2 linked regions of the Neurospora crassa OR74A genome follow. The protein of the gene in region 1 interacts with the protein of each later gene in a pairwise test. Links are inferred from orthologs where the notes say so. Each region holds a gene or a part of one and is shown in the gene's direction. Other genes may lie near its edges. The genes, in order: rcm-1 and hda-3.

Evidence for each region.
Region 2: the proteins of rcm-1 (region 1) and hda-3 interact in binary tests that used the Saccharomyces cerevisiae proteins (3 or more experiments, as listed by UniProt). The link is inferred for Neurospora crassa OR74A from reciprocal best matches to the Saccharomyces cerevisiae genes CYC8 and RPD3.

The regions. Positions count from the first base shown.
Region 1 is NC_026502.1:1,788,958-1,793,200, reverse strand, and holds the start of rcm-1 (RCM-1, variant), read left to right. Parts: upstream 1-1,392; 5' UTR 1,393-1,869; exon of another isoform or gene 1,870-1,940; 5' UTR 1,941-2,152; coding exon 2,153-2,303; intron 2,304-2,378; coding exon 2,379-2,582; intron 2,583-2,646; coding exon 2,647-2,729; intron 2,730-2,805; coding exon 2,806-2,985; intron 2,986-3,046; coding exon 3,047-3,139; intron 3,140-3,199; coding exon 3,200-3,356; intron 3,357-3,408; coding exon 3,409-4,243. UniProt on the Saccharomyces cerevisiae protein: Acts as a component of the CYC8-TUP1 corepressor complex which is involved in the repression of many genes in a wide variety of physiological processes including heme-regulated and catabolite repressed genes.
Region 2 is NC_026501.1:7,046,379-7,050,897, reverse strand, and holds the start of hda-3 (histone deacetylase RPD3), read left to right. Parts: upstream 1-1,581; 5' UTR 1,582-2,025; coding exon 2,026-2,238; intron 2,239-2,301; coding exon 2,302-2,602; intron 2,603-2,670; coding exon 2,671-3,212; intron 3,213-3,263; coding exon 3,264-4,184; 3' UTR 4,185-4,519. Other genes in the region: rpn-11 (26S proteasome regulatory subunit RPN11), read right to left, coding at 1-442, 504-757, 862-927. UniProt on the Saccharomyces cerevisiae protein: Catalytic component of the RPD3 histone deacetylase (HDAC) complexes RPD3C(L) and RPD3C(S) responsible for the deacetylation of lysine residues on the N-terminal part of the core histones (H2A, H2B, H3 and H4).

The DNA.
Region 1 (4,243 bases):
TTTTTTTTTTTTGGTATTCCTCCTGTGTTGTCATGTGATGTATTTGCTTCTCGGAAGTCCCTCGGTAGATAAGGTAAGTAATGGCATGGACCTTACCTATTTGCCCATGTATCAGCATGTCTGATCTTGTACATCCGATGCTGGGTACGGATATACTGAGATTCATTGTTGCAGGTCAATGAATGCAAGCGTAAAATGTGAAAAACATTCACCCTTGACGCATCCGAAGTGAAAATGCGAGGTAGGCGTATGCAAGGCGGCTGGGAGATTCCGTCCCGTTGTTTTCCGGTCTTGAAGGGCCAGAAGCACGGAGGAGGCTAGACTGCAGCGGAGAGTACATCATATCTTCCAACATGGATGCATATGTCCTTGCCCTACATTGCTTCTTCCGCTCATCTATCTTGCGACCAGACCACATAAACTACGAGCACTCTCGCGCGATGCCTGTGTACGTACCTACTGCTGTAGCGGATGATGGGAGAAGTGGTGAGAACCCAGACTGTAAAGCCGCAAACCTGAGTTCCAACATCAAGACGGAACATATATGATAGACGGCCTGAAGACAAGCTGGCCATAGTAGTGACCTGAGTTTCGTTCGGAAGCTCTTGGGCCTCTTCATCTCGACGGCATGTGGGAGTAGGTTGCTCTCTTGGTCTTGGACCAGGGGCACCTTCCCTTACCCAGACCCCTCACTCTACTCGAGACTGTACACTATGCTACTGCCTACAGACTTAGGTTGGCGGCAAGGACTCCAACTCGTGTTGTTTTCGATGTCTTGGAAATCATAGGTAGCTCTACCATTCTATGCCGGCTGTCTGGATACCTACCTACCATGTCTGGATAATCTCTAGGCGTGATACATATTGCCTCACCTCTGCCTCTACATTCTCATCGTGGTTCCTTGGCCTCGGCCAGGGGCAACCCAACCGCACTACGGGCAACAAGGGTCAAGAGTCCAGCTACTATGTAGTAGGTAGAGGTAGGTTCCGTTAGTTGGCTCGTGCTCGTGCTCGTCGCTCCAAGTACATCGGTACCTAGGTAGGTACACGGCACTAGGCACCCCGACCCCGGTGCAGCCAAGTGGAAGTGGACGGAAGCACCCCTGTGCCCACCTCGCCCCGCCCCAATGTACCGCAACCTGCCACGACCTGCCAGCCGTAACCGGGCTGGGCTGCCTGTGCCGCCAGGGCCTTGTGCAGCGCGTGTGGGTCACTTATCTTGGCGCGCCGTATGACATGCGGCACCAAGCGGAACCGGGAGCAAATTCCAAACTTACCTAGCCAAAAGTACGTACACGACGCCGTGGGTTAGGGGAGTTTGCAAAAGTGGTCAGAACTCCCCGTTCAGCGAATCGAGCTGCTTCCTGGCCGCCTTCCCCATTGCCTTTAGATCGCCTCTTCCCCAGCCAATTTTGCCCTTCCCCCTTCCCCTTCTTTTTCTCCCGTCTCCCGCCGCCTTCGCTGCCTGCATCGCGCACGACTCTTTCTGCGCAAACCACCACCTTGGACCTGATTCCATCCCAACTCAGCCGGTGTACCCCCTTCACACCAGCCAGCCATTGCCGCGAGCAATAATTTTCGCATTGCTCGTCTCGTCCAAATCTCCATCTCGAACAAAAAAGAGAGCACGACGTCGCCATTCCGACCTCGGTAGCTTGGGCGCATCTTGTCCAACTATAAGAAGCTGCGACAGGCTGCCGCCCTCTCGTCGCCTTCATTCGCAATCAACTTTTCTCGGTTTTTGACAATCGCGTCCGCCCAACAACACACAAGAACCGGGCGCTTCATCGTCACGACCATTGCATTGCTGACGCCGTCGCCACGTATCGTTGTGGTCCAGCCGCCCAAAGAGCAGAAGCCTAACAATTTGGTTGGTACAGTCATCGTGACTGACTGCGCATCTTGACAACGGCCCCTGACACCACCCTGCTACCTACCTAGTACCTACATACTATCCCCGTAGCGTCCCCGGGAACAGCTGCATGGGATACCAAGGCTGTATTGCTATCGCCTTGTGAAACTTTGAATTCTACCTCTACTGTTAAGTTGGGTCGGCAGCGCTACATTGGCTTCCGCCCCCGCCTCTTCCAATTTCCTATAGTCCATCGAGGAGCAACACGCCATCCACGCGCTACTCCTGCAACATCGCCCAAATGGCAAACCACCACCCTTCCCCTACGATGCAGATGCAAATGCATCACGGCCCGCCAGGGCCCCCAGGTCCACCGCCGGCGTCGATTCCTTCATGGAATCAACAGCGGCAGGCCTTTATGAGCTTGACCGAGAATGTGTGGATCGGAATCGGTATGTGCTTCCCACGCCGTTGTTGGCTGCCTCTTTAGGCTATTTTGTATGATGCTAATTTAGCAATCATGGTAGGTTCCGTGTCCGAGCTCATGGGGAACCACAACGAGGCACTAGAGGCTTATGAAAGGGCTCTTGCAGCCAACCCCAACTCTGTGACTGCTATGAATGCCGCCAGTCTCGTCCTTAGGACGCGCGAGGACTTCCCCAAGGCGTCGGAATATCTGCAGAGGATCCTAAAGATCGAGCCTGCAAACGGTGAAGCATGGGGCAGCCTCGGTAAGCAGCCCCCTATTCGCCACGTATATTTCAATAAATTCGGGTCCTAACTGTTGGTGTCTAGGACATTGCTTTCTCATGATGGAGGACCTCCAACAGGCATATGCTGCGTACCAAGCGGCCTTGGTTAACCTTCCCAACCCAAAGGTGCGTGCATTTGTACCTCTTGGGGTGCCTCTTTTCAGAATTGACAACGGTTTGGCTAACTGTCTGTTGATTGCAGGAACCGAGGCTTTGGTATGGCATAGGTATTCTTTATGATCGCTATGGCTCTTTGGACCATGCAGAGGAAGCATTCTCGCAGGTCATGGCCATGGACCCCAACTTCGACAAGGCTCATGAGATATATTTCCGTCTCGGCATAATCTACAAGCAACAGCATAAGTACCAGCAATCGCTTGATGTAAGTCGACAGCATTGTCTTGATAAGATCGGCATGAGACAGCCAGCTTACTCGTCAACAGTGCTTCAGATACATTGTCAACTCTCCTCCTACTCCTTTGACCGAAGAGGATATCTGGTTCCAGATTGGTCACGTCCATGAACAGCAAAAAGACGTAAGTCTGCTTTGCATTTTATACTTCTTTCCTCGACTCTTAATCCTGACGTTGTGGCAGTATGATGGTGCCAAGCAAGCCTACGAGCGAGTGCTGCAACGTGATCCAAAGCACGCAAAGGTCCTTCAGCAGTTGGGCTGGCTGCATCACCAGCAAAGTAATTCAGTCGCCAGCCAGGAAAAGGCAATCGAGTACCTGAATCAGTCCGTTGCAGCTGGTAAGTTTCGATGCATTTGGCTTCTTCATGCACCTATACTGACATAATCCAGACCAAACCGATGCCCAAAGCTGGTACTTGCTCGGTCGTTGTTACATGCAACTTCAAAAGTACCCTAAGGCATACGAGGCTTATCAGCAAGCTGTTTATAGGGATGGCAGGAACCCTACGTTCTGGTGCTCGATTGGTGTGTTATACTACCAGATCAACCAGTATCGTGACGCCTTGGACGCCTATTCCAGGGCCATCAGGCTCAACCCCTTCATTTCTGAAGTTTGGTATGACCTTGGCACTTTGTATGAGTCTTGCAACAACCAGATCAGCGATGCTCTGGACGCTTATCAACGTGCCGCCGAACTGGATCCCAACAACCCGCATATCAAGACCAGATTGCAGCTCCTCCGAAGTGGGCAAGCTAATGGCGGCGCACCCCCGGGGTCAGTCCCGATGCCCACTGATATCCACCCCCAGACGTATAATGCATCCGGTGCGGTTGGTCCTCCGGGCCCTCAGTGGGCGGGCTCAGGCTCAGGCCAGCCTCCTCATCAACCGCCTCAGCCGATGCACAACGGTGGCCCTGGCCCGGGCCAAGGGGCCAACTCGTGGGGTGGAAGAATTTCCGACATTAACCCTCCTCCCCAGCCGCCGAACCCATATGCCTCGGGTCAAGACCGGGAGCCCTTTCGTGGTCCCGCTCCGCCGCTTCCCAGACAGCCCAGCCCGCGACAGGAGCAGCAAATGAGGCCTTATCAGGAGGCCAGGGCGCCCGAGCCGCTCAGAAGAGGACCTACCCCTCCCCAGGCTCATTACGCCCCTCCACCCCCTCCACCTCCGCAACAACCGCACCAGCCGCACCCGCAGCAACAGCTTCAGCAAGGACCTCAACC
Region 2 (4,519 bases), on another chromosome or scaffold:
AAGGCTAACCAGGCGGTCGAGTCTCTCCTTCGTCCTCGATCCCTCGCAGCGGAAGTCCTCCATTTCGAGGGCCTCGGTCCAAACGTGCTTGTGCAGATTCATCAACATGTTCTCCTCCAAGGCGGTCTTGCGGTAGTTGATGCCGATCGAGTAGTAGTGCCTGTTCAGGCCGTGGATGAGGGCCTGGATGGAAGGCTTGTTGAGATGTCCCAAGTTGGATGTCGTCTGGCGGGGCTCCTGACCCAGCATGAGCGACTGGGGGTTGATGAGACGGAAAGCATCAATCACAACCTTGCCCTTGACGGACTGAATGGGGTCAATAACCACGGCGACCGCACGGGAGTTGAGTTGTTCGAAACTTTGTTGGGTGTTGATATCAACCGACGAAAGCCAGCAGCCAAAACCGGGATGCGAGTGGTACCAGCCAACGACGGCCTCGGGCCTGCGAAGGGAAATACATTAGTGGGTGGTGAAAGGTCAAGTTGAGCTGAGTATCCTCTCACCTTCCCGTTTGCCTGAGCATGTCCATCATGTTCATCTGGAAGACGGGGTCGACAGCCTCTACACTGACACCAGTACCGCTTTGGGGCATGGCAAACACATCGACGACGCGAACGGTAAAGTCATCGACAAACTCGCCCAGCATCAGGCCCATGACTTCCATGGGCACACCAGCGCGACCGTGGCGCAACATCTTGAGGAGGGCTAGGGAGGAAATGTAGACGGTTTCCGAGTTGTCGATGAGGTTGGTGTTGTCCTGACCAGAACCCAGCACATTAGCATCATGCCCTTGTCACCTTCACGCCAGACCAAGCAAGCCTGCGGTTCTGTTGTTCAATTTGCGAATGGGAACAAACATACGGCTCCTGGCGCAGTGGCACCGCCCATTCCCAGGCCGCCGCCCAACAAGCTGCGCATGCGATCCATCTTGAATGTGTTTGTTGGTTGGAGAGTAGTGTATTATGTTGACGTAGCTGTGTGACGGGGGTGTTGGAAATTAATATCGGCGTCGTTCCTCGGGTGTAATGACGTCGCGCAGAAGTATATGGAGGGTTGCGATGCAAACGGTGGCGGTTTCGTTGTAAAGTCGAAGTGGGATGTCGTCGATGACAAGACGGGAGACGGGGCGGTTTGTTGTTTAGGTTGGTGGGTTGAGTACCTCTCTACCTACCTACCGCGTCAGGTTGGAGCATGGAGCATGCAGCACCTATGGGGAGCTTGCCGCAGCTGGCTGGCGGCGGCGTTGACGACAAGCTGTGGCAGCCTGCAACGCCAACTGCCACAAAGTCCACTGCAGGCCAGCCCGGTGACGGAAGGTTCCCTTGAGCTGGAAGCTGTGGATTACATAATCTTATCTGGTTTGCAAATCGGCAGGCAAAGCGGTTGACTTCATAAGTATTGGCGCTTTTTTGGAAGGTTCGACGTTGCCTGCCGACAGGACGTCAGGTGCACAATCCGTTTTCTGATTGGTTACTAAAGTTATTGGAGAATGGAGAACAGCTCAATTATACCCCACTCGCCCGTTGGGGTTGCTGGTGCTTGCGCTTTCTCCCCCGCCTGTCCGCCCACGGCTTCACGCACCGACCTCAGCGTTGTGCCGTGGCTCGTACAAGCAATTCTGCCACTCAGTGACAGACACCCCGGCGTCAGGAACCGAGCTCGAACTAAACACCATCTTTCTTTTCGTTGCTGGCAAGCCATGACGATACCGCCCAGGTGATTTGCCACATCACGGGGATATTTCTATATCATACTTTGTCATTCTATCAATACCACGAAACCTCAACACGTGTTTCCCCCATTCAGCCCGGCGACCCTGAACATTTCCTTTCACGACGGGGTCCTTCCCATCCCAGCGTCTCCCGGTCAGCGATAACTTCTACATACTTGGACGTGATATCCACCACCACAACACACACACACACACCATCCAACCCACAATCCGGATTGTACCGCAATAGTCCTCCGTATCCGCCAACGCAACGCAACACAACACAACGGGCAACCCGGCAACATCTGCCCACCATGCCTTCCACATTCACCGATCCCGCCGGAGTCGCGCGTGACGAGCCGTTGTATACCGTCGTCCACAATGACAAGAAGCGGGTCGCCTACTTCTACGACTCCGACATTGGCAACTATGCCTACGTGACCGGCCATCCTATGAAGCCCCATCGTATCCGTCTTGCCCACAGTCTGGTCATGAACTACAACGTGTACAAGTTTCTCGAGGTCTACGTAAGTTTGCTGTGTTGGGGGTACTGGCCTTGGTCAACGACAAACTGACCCTCTCTGTGTTAGCGTGCAAAACCAGCCGTTACTGCCGAAATGACACAGTTTCACACCGACGAGTACATTGAGTTTTTACAAAAGGTTACCCCCGACAACATGGACGGCTTCATGCGCGAGCAGGGCAAGTACAATGTTGGCGATGACTGTCCCGTTTTCGACGGCCTGTTTGAGTTCTGCGGCATCAGTGCCGGCGGAAGTATGGAGGGTGCCGCTCGCTTGAATAGGGACAAGTGCGACATCGCCATCAACTGGGCCGGTGGTTTGCATCACGCCAAGAAGAGCGAGGCTAGCGGTTTCTGCTATGTCAATGGTATGTGGCCTTCACAATTTCCTGGAACCCGTACGACGCCACCCATGCTTACCTACTACACCGAACAGATATCGTCCTGGCTATCCTAGAGCTCCTGCGTTTCAAGAAGCGCGTTCTTTACATTGACATCGATGTGCACCACGGCGATGGTGTCGAAGAAGCCTTTTACACGACGGATCGCGTCATGACCGTATCCTTCCACAAGTACGGCGAGTACTTCCCCGGTACCGGCGAGTTGCGCGACATTGGTATCGGTTCCGGCAAGAACTATGCCGTCAACTTCCCCCTCCGCGATGGGATTGACGACACCACCTACAGCTCCATCTTCCAGCCCGTCATTAGCGCTGTCATGCAATACTTCCAACCTGAGGCTGTTGTCCTCCAATGCGGTGGTGACAGTTTGTCCGGTGATCGTCTTGGCTGCTTTAACTTGAGCATGCGTGGCCATGCCAACTGCGTTAATTACGTGCGGAGCTTTGGACTACCCACTCTGGTTCTCGGCGGAGGTGGCTACACCATGCGCAACGTCGCAAGGACTTGGGCCTACGAAACCGGCCGTTTGGTTGGTGTTGAGATGAACCCAGTCCTTCCTTACAACGAGTACTACGACGTAAGTGGATTAGTTCCATTATGGCTTGCCGCCTTGCTAACAAACTCTTAGTATTACGGTCCCGACTACGAGCTTGATGTGCGTTCTTCCAATATGGAGAACGCCAACAGCCCAGAGTACCTGGAGAAGATCAAGATATCAGTGATAGAAAACCTGAAGAAGACCGCCCCAGTTCCCTCTGTCCAGATGCAGGACGTTCCGCGTCAGGGCTTCGGTATGTCAGACGATCAGGAAGACGAGCTTGACGACATGGATGAGGACGAGAACAAGGATGTCCGGCGGACACAGCGTCAATGGGAGAAGGAGAGAGCTAGGCAAGACGAGTTTGAAGAAAGTGATGACGAGGACATGGCTCAAGCCAATGGTGTGTTCAAGCCGAACGGACCGCAGCGCCGGTCCATTCTCGACTTCAAGAACCCCAAGGCCGTGGAGGACATGGATCTTGATATTGGAGAACCAGCTCCGCCCTCGATTGCCGCCACCGCCGCCGCGGCCGCCGCTAAGCCAGCGGAGCCTACTGCTGTCGACAACGATGAGACCATGATCGATAACGACGAAGCCCAACCGGCCGCCGCTGAACCTGAAGCCGAAGCCCCCGCAACGACAGCCGCGCAGCCTGCAGTAAGCTCTGCGGCCAAAGTTGACGAAGATGGCGATGTGGATATGGGCGAGGCCGATGAGAAGCCTGCAGAACCTGAGGCGGAGATCAAGACCGAGGAAATCGAGACTGCCCCTGCTCCGGAGCCGGAGGCAGAGCGCAGGCCAAGTCCCGCCGCCGCCACTGCGGAGCCTGCTACCGAGGCAGCAGCAGCAGCAGCAGCCTCTCCCAAGGCCGCCTCGCCGGTACCAGACGCCAACACTGAGAAGCCAGTGGCAGAAGAGCCAAGCAAGGTTGCCGAGGAGGCATCCGACAAGGCACCGGCAGCAACAACAGATGACAAGGAAAAGGAGGCCGATAAGCCTCAAGAATAGGACGCAACCCCCCGAACAAACACTCAGTACGTCTGATAGCTCGGACTAATCGGGCCCTGAGTACGTCGGCAAATTTCAGTTGTGTTATCCCATGAGCATGATTGGCATTGGCGTTTGGGGATTTAGGGGTGTTGTGACGAGGAAAATGTTGTTTTCAATGATTCCCCCACATTACATCCAGGCTCTTTGTTGTTTGTGTTTTTTCTTTCTTTTTTTTTCTTTTTTTTTTTTTCCTTTTCTTTTCTTTTTCCATGTTTCGGAAAAGTTTCTACAAGTTAAGCGTCTAATAAAGGTGACTTTAGCTAAACATGGCTTGCTGATATGTGATTGTGGTT